Linked DNA regions of Canis lupus familiaris. The protein of the gene in region 4 interacts with the protein of the main gene of each other region in a biochemical or structural test. Links are inferred from orthologs where the notes say so. Each region holds a gene or a part of one and is shown on either strand. Other genes may lie near its edges. The genes, in order: HMGA1, MGMT, SLC9A3R2 and PRKCA.

Region 1 (3,979 bases), on a different chromosome or scaffold from region 4:
TTTGGGTCTGCCCCTCGGTTTCCTCCCTGGAGTTGTGGTAGTTTTCTAGATGGTCAGAGAAAAAGATCCACTAAGTTGAAAAACATCCCTACCACTGCTCACCGGATGCCCAGTGCCCCACCAGGATGGGGAGGGACCGAACCACCTACCTCTGCTCAGGGCAGCCTGGGACTCCCTCAGCCTGCGGGCCCACCCGAAGCCAGCTGGTGATGACTGGCTAGCCACACTGCACCCCCCCCCCAATATACACACACGCCCCCCACTCCCTCCTCCACCCATGACTCAGAGGATATGAGTCGTGTCTCAGAAAAAATAAAATAAAAAACAAAACAACTTCTCTGAGAGACTGATGCCACTGTAAATCTGGCCTACCCTGCTTGGCCCCATTTCTCTGGGGATTCAGGGGACCCCGGAATGGAACGGAACATGGTCAGCCTAGGGAGTGATGGAACTACCCCTTCACTCTTCCCCATTCACCTTTCTCCAGACAAGGAGAGCTATGGGGCTTCTAACTGGATTTCCCCATCGTCCTGTGCAGGCCTGAGTGCCCACCAGTGAGGAGTCAGTCATTGCCCTGCTGTCCCCAGTTTGCCAAGACCCACTGCCACCCGTGCCTCCTTCATCCTTACCCGGGTCTTGGCAGCACCCTTGTTTTTGCTCCCCTTTGGTCGGCCCCGAGGTCTCTTAGGTGTTGGCACTTCACTGGGTTCCTTCTGCAAAGGCAGGTGGGATAATCGGACACAGATGCCATCTGCCCCACCCCTTTCGAGACACAGCTCTCCCCTCCACCCCAAGTCAGCCAGCCATCACCCTGACCCAGAAATCCACAGGCACCACAGCAGGCAAGCCCTCCAGACCCAAGTTCTCGCTCTATTTTGCAAAGCCCCTCCCGTGCTTCCCTGTGACAACAAAATGACAAGAAACCAGAAAAGGGAAAGGGGTCATAGGGCAGAAAAACCCATCCGGCAGCTCTGCCACCAATGGGCCCTAAGCTCTCAGGCAAGACCCAGAATGCTTGGGACTCAGTCTCCTCAACTGCAAATGGTGAGAAGACTTCCCTCACAGAGCATCAGAGCCTCAAGGAAGGGTGCAGAAGTGTCCCCCACTGGGCCAATACCACGCCCCAGCCCCTGGGGGAATGCAGAAGAGGATAAACACCCCCCAACCAGAGGGAGCCTCCAACCACTACCTGCAAACCAAACTCCCTCCAGGCTTTGTCCCAGGGAGGGAAATCAGGCCCGGATGTCAGAAACCAAGAGATCCCTGCCGTAGTCGCCGGTGAAATTTACTAAGCCTGACTAAGCCTGACGGAATAAAAAGCTGCTGCATAATGCACAGAAGCTGGACAGTAAAGGCAGGTCAGCTACGGTTTCGGGGTAGCTGCCCACAGGCTGTTTGGAACTATAGTCCAGTAACCCAAAACACCCCCCACCACCACCCAGACACCCGGCTGCAGACCCCAGCTACCTAGCAAGAGGTGGAGGCCGAGGGAATGAGACAAAAAGACCAACTCCCTCCACACTGTGGGCTGTGCCAGGGGCAGCTGAAGCCCACCACTCTGACTTCTCAGGGCTCATGTCTCCCCGCAGTCAGTACCTCCCGTGCTCTCCATCCTACAGGTAGGAGAAGCCTGAGGCCCACGGAGCAAAGAGCAAGGGTTGACCTGGACCCCTGGCCTCTGGCCCTCACCCCTGCAGCCCCTCCGAGAGAATCCAAGATCTCCACCAAGTGACAGGTGCTCCCCCGACAGCCTCACAGGCCATGCTCCCTAGGGTGCCCCAAGGGGCCAGGCTGGCCTTCTAACCCTGTGGAACCTCAGTGGTGGCCAGCACCAGGGTTCCCAGAGTCCCACTCCTATGACAACTTCCCCACATTTTCTGTTCTTGGGCTTCCGTTTCCTTTTACGGAGCCAGAGTGGTGCCTGGGCCCAGGGCCGCTTGAAGCCAGGCCTGTGGACAGGTGCAGCCCACAAGCTTTGTTATAGGTCTGGGATAAGGAAGTACGGAGTTGACAGTTAAGTATTTAGTAACTTTTATGGCTAATGGACAGACAAGTATGTGCCGTGAGCCTAAGGATTAGAAACACAGGACTTAGACATATATGTAAACTCCTCTTTACTGTGTTTTTGTAAACATGCTGGTCTATCCACAACAGCCTGGACATAAAGGGTGGGTAGTTTACCAGGATGTGAGCATGAGGTCACTTCTGGCTTGGATTATCTGGCATGGGCTCAGGGGTCACTCAAATTTCTCAGCCCCCCCCCCCAAAAAAAAAAAAATTTCTCAGCCCCCACTTCTCTCCTGGGGTCTCAGGAGCTGACCAGGGTTGGCATGTGTGGGGTGCATGTTTGGAGTGAGCGCACACCGACATGCAGCATGGATTCTGCAGCCCTCTACTCCAGCTGTCACTTGCTCAGACACGTGGCACCTCCCTAACCCAAAGGGGGTAAACCGAGCAAAGGTTTGGACACCCACCTGACTCCCTACCAGCGCCGTCCCGGGACTCACCGGAGGCTGCTTGCGCGGCCGGCCCCGCCCTCGCTTCTCAGTGCCGTCCTTTTCCTGCTTGGAGGCCAAAGGCTGGCTGGACTTCGAGCTCGACTCGCTCATCTTCCCTTCTCTCTGGAGCAGGTGGAGGAGCGACGGCTGGGATGCTAGGGAGCAGGAGAAGTTGTTTTAAACACGACATCTTGCTTCAGCCACCTCCTATCTCCTTCACCACTTCCACCCTCCAAATGCACTGTAGGACCCTGCCTACTCCTAGGGCTACCCAGGATTCCTGACATCCTGAGGATGGGATGAGGGGGAATCCCTGGGTGGCTCAGTGGTTTAGCGCCACCTTCAGCCCAGGGTGTGATCCTGGAGTCCTGGGATCAGGTCCTGCATCGGGCTCCCTGCATGGAGCCTGCTTCTCCCTCTGCCTGTGGTCCCTGTCTCTCGCTGTGTGGGTCTCTCATGAATAAATAAATAAAATCTTAAAAAAAAAAAAAAAAAAGCCTTAAAAAAAAAAAAAAAAAGGATGGGGAGTTGTGGGGGGTGTCTACCCAGCCCGGGCAGGCTGCTACAGGGTGGGGCTGGGCCGTTGGCCCTAATCAGCTCCTTATCTCCTGCTCAGAAGGGTGCTTTGTTGTCCTGCCACCCCCACGGGGCCCAGGCTCAAGAGGCACAGCCAAGCTCAGATGTATTTCTGCAGGTGAGGCCACCTAGACGGAGGTGTAGGTTGGGGGGTCCTCACACTGCCCAAGGTCCCTCTGTCTAGCCAGCTGCCCTTTCTCTTAGAGAAAAGCAAGCCTGAATGGCTCACAGTCAACAGGGGAGGAAAGGGAAGCAGAATCAATCAGCCCCAGACAGCCAGGGCCATCAGTACCCCCCCACCTGGCCAAGAGAGTTGCCTATCTGCCACGGCCCAAGCCTCAGGACCAACTGCGACACTCCACATCAATCACCTGGCCAGGGGTGGTGCCCACCCCACCACTTAGGTCTCCTCTCTGCTCTCCCTGGGCAAGAGCCTTGGGGATTCAAGGCTGGGAACAGTTTGGGAAGGGGGAAGATGGCCAAAATTGTAGTAGGGGAGGAAAACCCAAAGCCCTTTCCCCTTATCCCCACCCCACCCACCTGGAGTCAAATAAAATCTTCCCCTTTGATGCCTGCTTTCAGGAGGGGCAGAATTTCTCCACTGAGATGGATCCTTCTAGCAGATGCTGGCTGCCCTCCCTCCCTCCCACCCCCCCAGCCCTGGCAGAGCTGGTCCTCAAAGCTTCTTTTCTAGCATTTTCCCTCTTCTTAGAGGCCGTTTTGGGTTTAATCAGCCCCACTAATTTTGAGTTTACATAAAACCTCCCACTGCAAGGAGCACCTGCACCCCGGATTAGGGTGGCTCTTCCAGAGGCTTAAAACACAGTGAGGGTCCTCCCCTCCCCCATCCCATTTCCCCTCTTGTCTTTCCAGTTGCAGAGACAGGAGACCCGGGAGACCTAGGA
Region 2 (4,045 bases), on a different chromosome or scaffold from region 4:
GTTTGACCTTGTTAATCAACTCAGGTGTGAGCTCAGCTTTCCAGGAGCTTCTCTAGTCACTGCCCCTGAAAATTCTACTCTACTTTTAAGTTCCTTTTCGCTAAAAATCATGGCAGCTATTAGAATGCCATTAAACATATTTAGGATGCTCAGTTTTGAAACTCAAGATTGCTTTAAGTTTACTTTAAAGATATACTTATTTTAGGGGGAGGGGCAGAGGGAGAGAGAATCTCAAGCAGATGCCCTGCTGAGCACAGAGCCCAACGTGGGGCTCGATCTCGCCACCCCAAGGTCACGACCTGAGCCCAAACCAAGAGTCTGATGCTCAACCGACTGAGCCACCCAGGATCCCCTAAATTTGCCTTACCTAAAACCTAAAATTTTTTTCCCTTGAGTATACGTGTGCACACATCTACATATTTACGTGTACACACACACGCATCTATATTAAAATGAGTAAAAAAAAAAAAATCACTACTATGCCAAAGAAACCTCTGCTGTGTGTCTAGAGTAATTTTAGTTGACATAATTAAGGCACAAACAACTTAAAAGGAAGCGTCTGGGAAAATGTTTTTCGGCGACCACAGACCATGTGCCTTTAGCCGGCTACATTAGGCAATGAGTTCTCAATTCGTGCTTTAAGAACACGGTATCCAACTACGGCAAGCTTGAGAAATGAGACTGAGAACTTATCCGCGACAACACAACGCCGCTACCCACTCTGATGTAAATGTCACCAGCCGAGTTTATGGAAGTGGCTAATTGTCCATGTACAAGCCTCATTTTCTGTGCTGTTGGCAAGCAGATAGTTTAAGTTAACAATAAGCTTATTGAAAAATTCCCTGCTATTCAGATGTGTTCCCATTTAAACCTTTCAGCCAACAAGAGTCAAGAGTCGATCTGCATGCATCATTTTTACTGCCTTTGCCAAGAATTATGTGACCATGTGCCAAAACTAACACAAGCATTTGGAATGGGTGGAGATCGTGAACTCTTGTCCTTATAGTGTGGCCACATGCTGTCTCTGTTTAGATGATGTAAAAATACCAAGTCAGTGTAGTCGATAAAATGGGCTGCGATGTAAGTGATAGTTCATCAGTCAAGCTCCCTGAGCAAAACCCTAAGAGGCGGCGGAGTTACTGACCTCGCTGGAAAATGGGATGGTGAATCGCGGGCAAGGGGAGGCCCGGGAGGACCGAGGGCTCACGGAAATAGGCATCCAGCCAGGCCACGCACTGCACCAGTGGCTCCGTCATTTCCTCTGGACAGCCGAGCAGCTCGGGAGGAGCGGGGGCCTCTGCGGGTCTGCAAAAGTGATAACAGGCGCATAATAAACCTCCGGCCCTGCGTCCACACGTGTGAAAAGCAAACAGAAACGTGTAAGTCCATAGCAGTCTCCCCGGGATGTGTGCCCGCTGTGCGGCGCAGCAGTGGGCAGGTGCCTGTGGGAGGGCGTGGGGTGCCTCCCAGCCACGTTTCCACCTTTAGCTTTAAGAAACACAACCAAGAGGTGATTCCAGGAAGGAACAGCCTAGTACACAGGCTCCTGTATTTGGCAGGATGGGACAGAGCCAGGATGATAAGCACAGAAGTGGCCCCAGTGGGCATGTGGCTGCCCCTTCCTAAGACTCAGGCGCACGTGGGTCTCCGTCGCTCATCTGTAAAATCGCCATGTGTTATCAAAAGTACTTAAGAAATATTACCAAAGTAATTCACCTGCATTTTCATCAACCCCCTCCCCAATCCTACTGAATTTCAACACAACAGCACATTCAGGATTTTCCACCGCTCTGAGCTGCGTTCTGGGGGATTTCCTTGGGGTCTGCTTCCAGCCTACAGAGTCTCACGCTGCAGTGTCTAATCCGTGTGCCCGTCGTCCTGCGAGGCTCACATCAGTCACTGTGCTCTGGCTTCTTTTTTTTTTTTTTTTTTTTTTTCCGAGTTCCCTTGTTCAATCACTACGGTCACTTTCTTCCTTTTATCTCCTTAAACTCAAACCAACATACCTGAGACTCCGTTCAGTTTGCTCCTTGCCCTCGGGGTCTAATTCCTCTGTCCAAGGGACCCAGTAGCTGCCTCTCACAGAGCTGACTTACTTTTGGCAGGTGCCAGGTCTCTGGGGAGATCCCCACGGAGAGGCTTTACTCTTGCTGCTTCGGAGCCCTACACTTTCACGATGGATCCAGTTTTCTTTTTTTTTTTTTTTTTTTTTTTTTTTAAATTTAAATTTTTTTTTTTAATTTTTATTTATTTATGATAGTCACAGAGAGAGAGAGAGAGGCAGAGACATAGGCAGAGGGAGAAGCAGGCTCCATGCACCGGGAGCCTGATGTGGGATTCGATCCTGGGTCTCCAGGATTGCGCCCTGGGCCAAAGGCAGGCACCAAACCGCTGCGCCACCCAGGGATCCCTGGATCCAGTTTTCATTTCACTTTCCCAGGACCCCACACCCACCAAAGCACCGGCACCACGTCTGATTTCTTCAGCTGACTTTCCTTCCTTACCCTCCAAGGCCCTGGACAGGCAGCAGGTTTCCTAGTGGCTCCCGGCCTGGAAGGCACAGCCTGTCTCTTTATCCTCGGCTACTGAAGCTTTGGGGGCAGGGGAGGTGCAGGCTCACCCTGTGTGCTGAGGATGCGTGCACGGGCGTCAGTCCACAGCCTGCCTTTTTCACCTTGTACGCAGCAGCCTTACGAGGGTCACCACTCACTGGGCCATGTGGCCCAATGCAGGGACGACAGTGAGACTCAAGTCCCTGAGCGCGCAGCCTGACGCCGCCTGTGTGAGAAGGCCATCGGCACGCACAGGCCGCTGCACGTCTGGAAGCAGGTATGCTTCACGCTAGAGCTGCAGAGAACCCCTGACGACCTCTAAGCAGGTCCTGCACACGATCCTATGCTGGAGTCCAAGTCTTTCATGCCTGGCATTCCATGGAAATGAGAGTCTCCACTGATGGCCTTGGATCTTTGCAGAAATAAGCTTCCTTGTTTGGGATGCACAGAAACACCCTTTATGCTGTTTTTCCACAGTAGAACAGTGGATCAGGGAAGGCTCTCTAAGCACTTGCACATGGACAGTGGTAACGAGGGACCAGACAGAAGGAAGAAAGAACTGAGCCCACGGACGCAAACAGGCAGAGGGACGACAGACGCATGCCCCGAGGTGCTGGCCACGGTCCAGCCATCCTGCCGACCCCCGATGGACAGAGCAGGCCCCGGAGCCACCACCTTCCCGAGATCTCCGTGGGTGGGAACTCCTGTGGACGGGCCCGTGGCCGGCCTGGACCCCAGAGCAATAGAGGGGCACCTCGGAGCCAGCGGAGCAGCTCAAGGGCCTCGCAAAGATGCTCCTGGACGTGGACACGGCACCTCCTTCCTGCCCTGGTCTCTCTCCATCAGGACATCTGGTCGGGGAAGGGGTCAAACTTCCCATGCCCGGCTCAAACATCCTTCATATTTTTTTCCTAAGATTTTATTTATTCATGAGACACACAGAGAGAGGCAGAGAGAGAGAGGCAGAGACATGGGCAGAGGGAGAAGCAGGCTCCCTGCGGGGAGCCTGAGGGAGAACTCGATCCCAGGACCCGGGATCACACCCTGGGCCAAAGGCAGATGCTCAACTGCTGAGCCACCCAGGCGCCCCTCAAACGTTATTCAACTCGAGCAAGTCCAGTCCCTCTGTCCGCACACTGTTCCTCCCGCACAAATCAACACGCGCTGACAATACTGCAAACAAGGGTGGGGAGCAGCGTCAGGTGCCCGGCCGTCCCCCCCGGGGGTGGAGGGAGAGCAGGGGTGCGCTACGGAGAGCCTGGGGCTGCTGCCAGGAAGCAAGGCCAACGCCCCCTGGGGGGGACAGCGTGGCCGCGAAGGCCTGGGCCACCAGCAGGCAGCAATCTGTGTGACACCTGCCCAAACGGGAGGTGGACCCAGCTGAGGTGCCCATGTCCCCGCTCTCAGCCCATGGGGGCCTTCCCTTTTGAGGAGGCAGGAGAGGGGCAGGGACCGCCTGGGTGCCCATGTTTCCCCCCCGGGACTGTCCAAGG
Region 3 (4,045 bases), on a different chromosome or scaffold from region 4:
GGCGCCCGCTTGTTGACCCGGGTGGCTCTCGCCTTCTCCTTGGCTTCGGCCGCCGTGGGGCTCAGGTGGAGGCCGCTCTCCTGAAAGGGGTCACGCTTCCAGGTGTTGCTGTCCTGGGGGCAGGCAGAGTGGGCAGGCGGCCAGTGTGAGCCTGGGAGGCAGCTCTCCGCAGAGGCCGGCTGGTGGGGCTGGGGCAGCAGGCCCGGGGCTTCCTGGAGGCGGTGACCCCACTGCCCAGGCTGCCAGCCACACCAACACCCACCCCGGCCTCTTTCCACCCTCCCCCATGTGTGGGCACTGCAGTGAGGCGGGCGGGCACTCGCTACCTCAGTGTCCTTGTCTAAGCCAGGCAGATCACTTCGGGACGAACACGCTGAGCCACCGTTCAGCTAGGAAAGCAAGGACACGGTGTGGCTGCAGGGCCCGTGCCCGGGAGCCGCCAGTGCCCACGCAGACGCTCGTGCACACACATCAGAGCCGCATTCATTCTTCTGTCTGGCAGTAGGCACCGAGCCTGGGCAGGAGCCGCGGGTGCTGCCAAGGGCGGGGAGCCTGCCCCCCGCCTGCTCACTACGGAATCACCCCCATGAGCATCACTTGGGGTGAAGCCGGGACCGCCTCCCGAGGAGTGACGCAGCATGACTGCAGCTCACCCGCCAGCAGCCTCGTGGGGCGGGGGCGGGGCTGACCCAGGCAGGACCCGGAGTGGCTGGCAGGATTGGGTCTCGCTATCACACCCACACAGGGAGATCTTGAGGTGGGGGCACGGGCAGGTCTGGGGATCCCTAGAGGGGCCCCAACAGGCTCCTGAGTCCACCCTGTCCATTCCCACCCTCTCACCTGGGCAGGGCTGGTCCCATTGGTGACTGGTGATAGCAGTGGACCTGTGGGGACAGCGTGTCGGTGGCTGGCCAACCCCCCATGCCACCCCGTCCCCAGCCCCAGGCAGCAGCCCACCTTCCACGTGCTCCTCAGTAGGTGTGACCCGTAGCCGCTTGAAGTGCTCATCCGTTTCGGGGTCCACCACCAGCAGCCGGGCCTCGTCCTCCTGCGCCTTGATGCTGGCGACCACCTCTGCGTGGCGCAGCCCCTCCACATTCTGCCCATTCACCTGCCAGCAGCAGCGTGAGGTCAACCTGGCCCGAGGTCAGGCCCCCGCAGGCCCCTCGAGCCACCCAGCCAGGCGTGGCATCAAATATTCATCAATGTTGTCACCAGCCGTGGCAGGAAGAGGAATGCCAGCTCAAGTTCCCAGCATCTCTCCCCAGCAAGGACCTTGCTGCCCAGACACACCCGGGGCACACAAGCCAGACACACACATGGAGGGACACGGGCCAGACACACATCGGGGCACACGAGCCCAGAAACACACCCCAGGGGCACACGGGCCAGACACACACATGGAGGGACACGGGCCCAGACACACACCCGGGGGCACACGAGCCCAGACACACACCCCAGGGCACATAGGCCAGACACACACATGGAGCGACACGGGCCAGACACACACCCCAGGGGCACACGGGCCAGACACACACATGGAGGGACACAGGCCCAGACACACACCTGGGGCACACGAACCAGACACACCCGGGGGCACACGAGCCAGACACACACATGGAGGGACACGGGCCCAGACACACACCTGGGGCACACGGGCCAGACACACACCCGGGGCACACGGGCCAGACACACACCCCAGGGGCACACAAGCCAGATACACACATGGAGGGACACGGGCCCAGACACACACCTGGGGCACACGAGCCAGACACACACATGGAGGGACACGGGCCCAGACACACACATGGAGGGACACAGACCCAGACACACACCCGGGGCACACGGACCAGACACACTCAGGGGCACACGGGCCAGACACACACACTCAGGGGCACACGGGCCAGACACACACCCCAGGGCACATGGGCCAGACACACACCCTGGGGGCACACAAGCCAGACACACACATGGAGGGACATGGCCCAGACACACACCCGGGGCGACACGGGTCCAGACACACACCTCAGGGCACAAAGGCCAGACACACACCCCAGGGGCACACAAGCCAGATACACACATGGAGGGACACAGACCCAGACACACACCCCATGGGCACACGAGCCAGACACACACATGGAGGGACACGGGCCCAGACACACACACCTCTCATGGGGCCCCCAGCACCCCAAAGCCTCCACAACAGGTACCTCGATGAGTCTGTCCTGGGCGCGGAGGCCAGAGTGAGCGGCAGGCGAGCCTGGGTCCACGGAGCGGATGTACTGTCCCGGCCGGGACTTGTCACTGTGCAGGTTGAACCCGTAACCTTGGGGGCCCTTTCTCAGGTGGCAGAGCCGAGGGCGTAGCTCCCTGGGGGGCCCACCGACATCCTGCAGGCGCATGAGACCAGGCTCAGCACTGATCTCCAGCCCCCAAGCCTCCCCCACCCCGCCCCCCATCTGCAGCTGCAGTGGACGCAAGCTGGAGGGAACCCTAATTCCAGGCTCTACATTCCCCCGCCAGGCAGCCCCAGCTCACAGGACAAACGCTGTACCCGTGCCTGGGTGGACCCCCTTAGGCCGCCTGTGCCCAAGCTCCAGCTGCAGGTTCTGGAGCAAAGCCTCACTCTCCAAACCCAAAACCAACTTGAGGTGGGACTAGGGGCTTGACAGGGGTGCTGACAGGATCCGCTCAAGGGCAGCGCTGAGCACAGGCCGGGGTCCTAGGGGCAGCCAGGCGTCCTGGGCCCGCTGGCCCTGCGGGGGCACCCCTCGCCACCTCCCTCCTCCGAGTGTGAGGCTGACGTTTGTTTTTTCTCCCAGTGGCCTCCATAGGGCTGGTGGCAGCAGGCTGTGTTTGCTTTCACATTCCAGAGCAAGCTGGAGCCACCCCCACCCGCACAGGGCCCAGCGGCGGGGTGCACAGGCTGGAGCCGGGCCGGAGCCCAGCGAGGAGGCCACGGGTATGCCCTGCCTCCACCCTCCCTGCCAGAGCACAGAGGTCCCCGACGCCCCGAGCGTCCCCCCATCCACAGGCCAGGGCCTCGCCTCACTTTACCTCCAGCATCCTGCAGCAGGGCTCTGGGGCAGGGGCCGGCGGGCAGGGGCCAGGCCCCGGGCCCCCTCCCAGCCGCAGCCCGGGTAGTGAGCAGAGCGCCCAGCAGCCGCGGAGCGGGTGCTCAGTTACACGGGGCGGTGGCTGGAGGCGGGCGGCGGCGGCTCGGATTGCCCGGGCTGCTGGGGATGTGGGGGCGCGTGCAGGTGAGCGTGTGCGGCGTGGGGGTGCTCCTGAAGCCCTCCCTCCCCCGGTCCACCTCGCCCTCGCCCTCGCCCTCGCCCTCAGGGAAAGTCTCCAGCACCTGCCCCTCAGCTCCTCAGCTCGGGCCACCCCCTGGCCGCTCCCAGCCGCCCCCCCAAGCTCCGTCCACACCCCCAATCTGACCACGAGGGCCCTGGCCTGCTAGCCGGCCGGGCCGGGGACCCAAGCACATCTTTTCTTGCAGGGCCTCCCACTGTCCAGAATGCCCCTCCTCTGGGGTCCCTTCCCTGACCCCCGAAGCCACGCAGACACGCCCTTGGGATCCCTGCCACAGGCCCCCACCCAGCCCCGTAAGCCCAGGAACTCAGGGGACAGGGCTCCTGCCCCTCAGTGTCCCAGGGGTTCGGCAACATGGGCTGAACGGATGGGTGTGAGACCCCCAAAGTTCTCCCCCCACCCCATAGAGACTCATCCCCTCTCCCTGACACTCCTGGGGGCCCAGGCTTGGGGGCCCACTCCCCGCCCTGATGTGCCTCTCGGATACAGGCTGCCAGAGCAGGGATCGGCAGACAAGCCCCGGTTGGCAGAGGTGCGTGGGCACAGACACAAGACTCCAAACGTATGCTCACAAACACGCTACACGGCAACACGCGGAGACACACGCGTTGGAGAGGACAGCACCCTGGCGCTGAGCTGTCCAGACTCTTCTCACGCCCTCCACAATGACCTCTTAGGCGGGTCTCTCAAGGCCCCCAAACAGGAAGCAGGACTGTGGGAGTATCCGGGG
Region 4 (4,045 bases):
TCCTCCAGTCAAGAGTCCCCAGGACAGACCAGGTCTCTCAGTCTCAAAGACCCTTCTGTGGTTGTGTTACATGAATTTCAGGCAAACAGAGAGTAAAAAATGAGGCGGTGCTTAGCTGGGAGACGCATTTGGAGAATGAGGGGACTTAGAGCAGCCCCTGTAAGAACGGATAATCACTTCCACGTCGGATGTGCTTTCTGCTGTAGGAGGCTGGCTTCTCCGAGGACCTTGCGTTAGTGTCTCACAGTGTCTCACCACAGATGTACTCCTCATGAGACTGGAAAGGCTGGTTCCAGCAACAGGTGGAAGAAAATCTGTAGCTTCTAACGAGTCTGCGGATAGAGCCAGGGGATGGCTGTGTCGGGATGGGGCGGGGGAGCTGCCAGACTGGACGGTTTGTCTCATGAAGTCTGTATGTGCTGGAGCAAACGGCGAGTCGTTCTGGGGGCAGCAAGACGGACGGTGTGCTTCTGGTGTGTCCACGCATACATAGCAGGATGGGCGTCTTCCTGTCCCTCCCACCCCAAGTCACTAACAGTAACAAGGCTGAAAAGGAAAAACCAAAGTCCAGCCCAGGGGCTGTGACAACATCACACCTACACAAACATACTAGGCATACTGGAGTCAAACACTTCCTGATGTCCCCAAGAGGAAGAGTGGTAAAGGAGTGGACGATGGTGCTGAGGAGCTAGGAGGGAGTGTTATCTCAGAAATAATCCCCAAAAACAAAACATTTGTTTGCAGGTAGAATCGAAAATATGTATGTGTGTGGGTATATATATATATATATTTTATGTATATATATATATATATATGCGCCTAATTGATCATGTAAAATAGCCATTCATTTCAAAATTAGATCTACGATAAAAAAATTAATATATCTGATACAGTGCAGGGTTTGCTTGGGGTGGGAATGAGGGAAGAGGAAGCACAGCAGCAAGGAATGAAGCTAAAACTTAATCATAAAAGCAGATTAGAAACAAGAGCCTTCACAAATATAGCACAATTGTGTCTTATAAAATTATTATAATACTCTCTTTATACTTGATACGATTATATCAATAATATAGATTCACTTGTTATTAAGGTTTATTATAAACATGCAAAATTCATTGCATGATGCATCTGCAAAAACATATTAAAATCCTTCTAGCAATAAAACATCTTCAAGCTGATGTGCATCCAGGCTTTCCTGATTCTACAGCTCCAGGTGTGTCATTCAACATGAACTGGAAATGGAGACCTGAACTGTATTGGTTTTCATCCCTTAGCGGATGTCAAGGGCTGGAGATGGGAGGGAAATCGATCAATGGAGACTTATGCTATAGTCAACACTCTGCTAAGTTACTGTACACCGTACTCTCGTAAACGACATTGCAGCCTAGTAAATAAATAAGTACAAAAGGGGAGGGGGTGTACGCTTCAGCCTCTTAGGACATAGGTAGCAAAATATTGGTTGGAGGGTCGGGGTTGGCTAACAACACTCGTGAGTAGTGGCATGATTGCTGATGGCACCCTGGATCACAGAATAATCTCCCAGAGATTAGAATGAACATACATACACACTGGTTTATCCTTGATCTGAAATGATTTCACATGCTCATTTAGCAAAGTCCTTAGAAGATTTGGCCTCTTAAAAAGAAATGCAAGTATCAAGATAATCGTCAACCAAACTGGGGAGCTGACAGATTCACCCAACGTTCATCTGAGGTTTGCTCTAAGACCAGTAATCACTGGACTATGACTGGGTTACGACTGTCGATGTATGGTAACGGTGAGCTTGCAAATGACTCACCGGTGGGGACTTGATTCATCTCGGCCTCTCAAATTCTAGGGACCGTTTCCACTGAGGCAGAGAACAGAAGCAGTGGGTATTTCAAAGCCTCCCCTACTCCCAATCCCACCTGGTTCACATTCTGGGCTCCCCGTTCTTTCATTCCAAAGACGTCTCAGGTGGAGGGGTGTCTAGCCCACTGGACTGGGACAGGTTCATTTTAACATCTCTGGTTGGGGGACCTCCATGGTGGAAATTGACAGAAAGGCAAGGAAAATACATCAAATCGTACCGAAAAAGGGGGAGAGTTTGTTTGCTTTCTAGGAAGGGTCAACCTACAGCCAGATGTGACTTCTACATAATTAAGCTGGACACTGTACATTATGTCATCTTCCACTAAGGTAATGTTCTTGGTTGTAAGAGACAGACCCTGAACCGTTGCTCACATTTGGACTAAAAACCCTAAAATTTTCAGGCCCCCATCTAGAACAAGAGAAAAGGCCATGGCCTTAAAATTTTAGGGTTAAGGATCATTTCCCACTGCTGGAGGGCTGGGGGCGGGGGAGACGATGGTTCTTCGTGGTGAGTTTCATACCGCACTCTGTAAGATGGGGTGCACAAATTGGGGGTTGACATACGAGAACCCCTCGAAATCAGACTGGTCTATGTTAGCAATGACCAACTGATCAGGTGGTGTTAAGACAGGCTGCCCTCGTGTGAAGAACTTGTCAAAGTTTTCTGCGCCTTTGCCACACTGCAGAGAAAAGAGAAAAAGAAGAAAAGGTCAGTAAATTATTGCAAAGCACAGGTGGCAGCTCTCTCAAGAGTCCTCGGCAGGGAAGAGCGTGGCCCGGGGGAATTGGGACTGGAGAGGCAGGAAGAATTCTGAATCTGGACACCTACTGGATTCAAAAGCCAGCCACAGCAAAGAATAACGCAAAGTCACTCCGTTGCAAACCTTCGATGACCCTCGGAACCGAACCCCTCCATGGAAAGGCACTGCTGATAGTAAGGCAGCAGCAAGGGGACACAGCCTGTTTTATTTCATTTTCACTTCACAAAGCAAGCGGGCTACGAGCATGATGCCACACGCGCAGGGCCATCAGTCACAGCCCATGTCGAAAGGCCAGGATGTTGGGTGGGAATGCAGACAGCAACCTCTGAACCAAGAAGTTGAGATTTCTGTCCTACTTGTGGTTCTCTACAACCATATTTGTAGTACAGTAAAAGCTGTGTTATTTTTGCAACTGGAAAGTGCTAAAAACCTCAGTTCATGATCTTCAACCAATATTGAGGTAGGTGTGGTGGCAAGGTTGGGACATTCACCCTGGGGCCCAGCTGGGCTTCAGCCTATCTAGATCTATCCGATCAACTGGCAGGTCGATACGGGGCTCACTCGCAGGTGGTCTCAGGCTGGAGGGGGTTTGCTCTGGTGCCCTGGACAGGGATAGCAAAGTCTCCTGTCTGTCTTGGATAGTCTTCTCCTGCAGGGTCCACCAGGGCACCCAATAAAGACAGGGCTGCAGGCAGAGCTGCCTTTTTGGAAGCTCTGAGAAACATGGCAGCATGCACAGCACCACGTGGGAGCCTGACCCCAAATCGGGGAAAGGGGTGTCCTCACTTTCTCAGCCGCTCAGGAGGGTTGTGGCATGCTGAAGTCCCCTGGACCCCAGAGGACTCTGAGACAGGAAATGTTGGGGTCACACTGGTGATACAAATCATGGTATTCCACATGTTGCCAATGATCACCCTTCCACCTGCTGGTACCATAGGGGATATGGACCAGTTCTGAGTTAGCACAATTTTATACTAACCAGGCAATACTGGATCTTTAACAGAGGACAGCTCTGTGAAGGGGTGGGGTAGGGGGTGGAGAGTCCACCCCAATCCCTCGAGTGTAAAGGGGGGAGGAGAGCCACATCCTCTCCCTGGGCTATGGAGGTTAAGGGTGTGGTGTTTCACACAGACCCCAGCATGCGGTGAGAGCACAAGGGGTGCTGTTATTTTTGTAAGGCCAGTTTAGTCTCACAGACCATACTTTCCCACTTCCTCTTTTATACCTTTCCCACCATCTAGAAAGTTTCCTCGAGGGTCTAGTTTCATCAGGCTTTTTCCACCCTGCTCCTAAGGCATGTCGTGAGTTCAAAGTAAGGTCTCTCACAACTGACAGCCTCCCTTTCTGGAGGTGTTTTCATTTTCATGAGTGACCACCCACTCACTCCTAATGGCGGGGGGGTGCACACCATGGACTGCTGTGTGGGTATGTGG

Evidence for each region.
Region 1: of the proteins of PRKCA (region 4) and HMGA1, one has a biochemical effect on the other in vitro, tested with the Homo sapiens proteins (2 studies listed by BioGRID). The link is inferred for Canis lupus familiaris from reciprocal best matches to the Homo sapiens genes PRKCA and HMGA1.
Region 2: of the proteins of PRKCA (region 4) and MGMT, one has a biochemical effect on the other in vitro, tested with the Homo sapiens proteins (2 studies listed by BioGRID). The link is inferred for Canis lupus familiaris from reciprocal best matches to the Homo sapiens genes PRKCA and MGMT.
Region 3: the proteins of PRKCA (region 4) and SLC9A3R2 form a complex in vitro, tested with the Homo sapiens proteins (2 studies listed by BioGRID and IntAct, with this or other methods). The link is inferred for Canis lupus familiaris from reciprocal best matches to the Homo sapiens genes PRKCA and NHERF2.

The regions. Positions count from the first base shown.
Region 1 is NC_049233.1:3,710,193-3,714,171, reverse strand, and holds part of HMGA1 (high mobility group protein HMG-I/HMG-Y), read right to left. Parts: intron 2,654-3,979; 5' UTR 2,610-2,653; coding exon 2,475-2,609; intron 714-2,474; coding exon 630-713; intron 46-629; coding exon 1-45. UniProt on the Homo sapiens protein: HMG-I/Y bind preferentially to the minor groove of A+T rich regions in double-stranded DNA. It is suggested that these proteins could function in nucleosome phasing and in the 3'-end processing of mRNA transcripts.
Region 2 is NC_049249.1:38,739,018-38,743,062, reverse strand, and holds part of MGMT (methylated-DNA--protein-cysteine methyltransferase), read right to left. Parts: intron 1,306-4,045; coding exon 1,145-1,305; intron 1-1,144. UniProt on the Homo sapiens protein: Involved in the cellular defense against the biological effects of O6-methylguanine (O6-MeG) and O4-methylthymine (O4-MeT) in DNA. Repairs the methylated nucleobase in DNA by stoichiometrically transferring the methyl group to a cysteine residue in the enzyme.
Region 3 is NC_049227.1:39,350,035-39,354,079, forward strand, and holds part of SLC9A3R2 (Na(+)/H(+) exchange regulatory cofactor NHE-RF2), read right to left. Parts: intron 2,391-4,045; coding exon 2,211-2,390; intron 1,112-2,210; coding exon 958-1,111; intron 885-957; coding exon 841-884; intron 390-840; coding exon 327-389; intron 114-326; coding exon 1-113.
Region 4 is NC_049230.1:13,279,563-13,283,607, reverse strand, and holds part of PRKCA (protein kinase C alpha type), read right to left. Parts: intron 2,532-4,045; coding exon 2,367-2,531; 3' UTR 1-2,366. UniProt on the Homo sapiens protein: Calcium-activated, phospholipid- and diacylglycerol (DAG)-dependent serine/threonine-protein kinase that is involved in positive and negative regulation of cell proliferation, apoptosis, differentiation, migration and adhesion, tumorigenesis, cardiac hypertrophy, angiogenesis, platelet function and inflammation, by directly phosphorylating targets such as RAF1, BCL2, CSPG4, TNNT2/CTNT, or activating signaling cascade involving MAPK1/3 (ERK1/2) and RAP1GAP.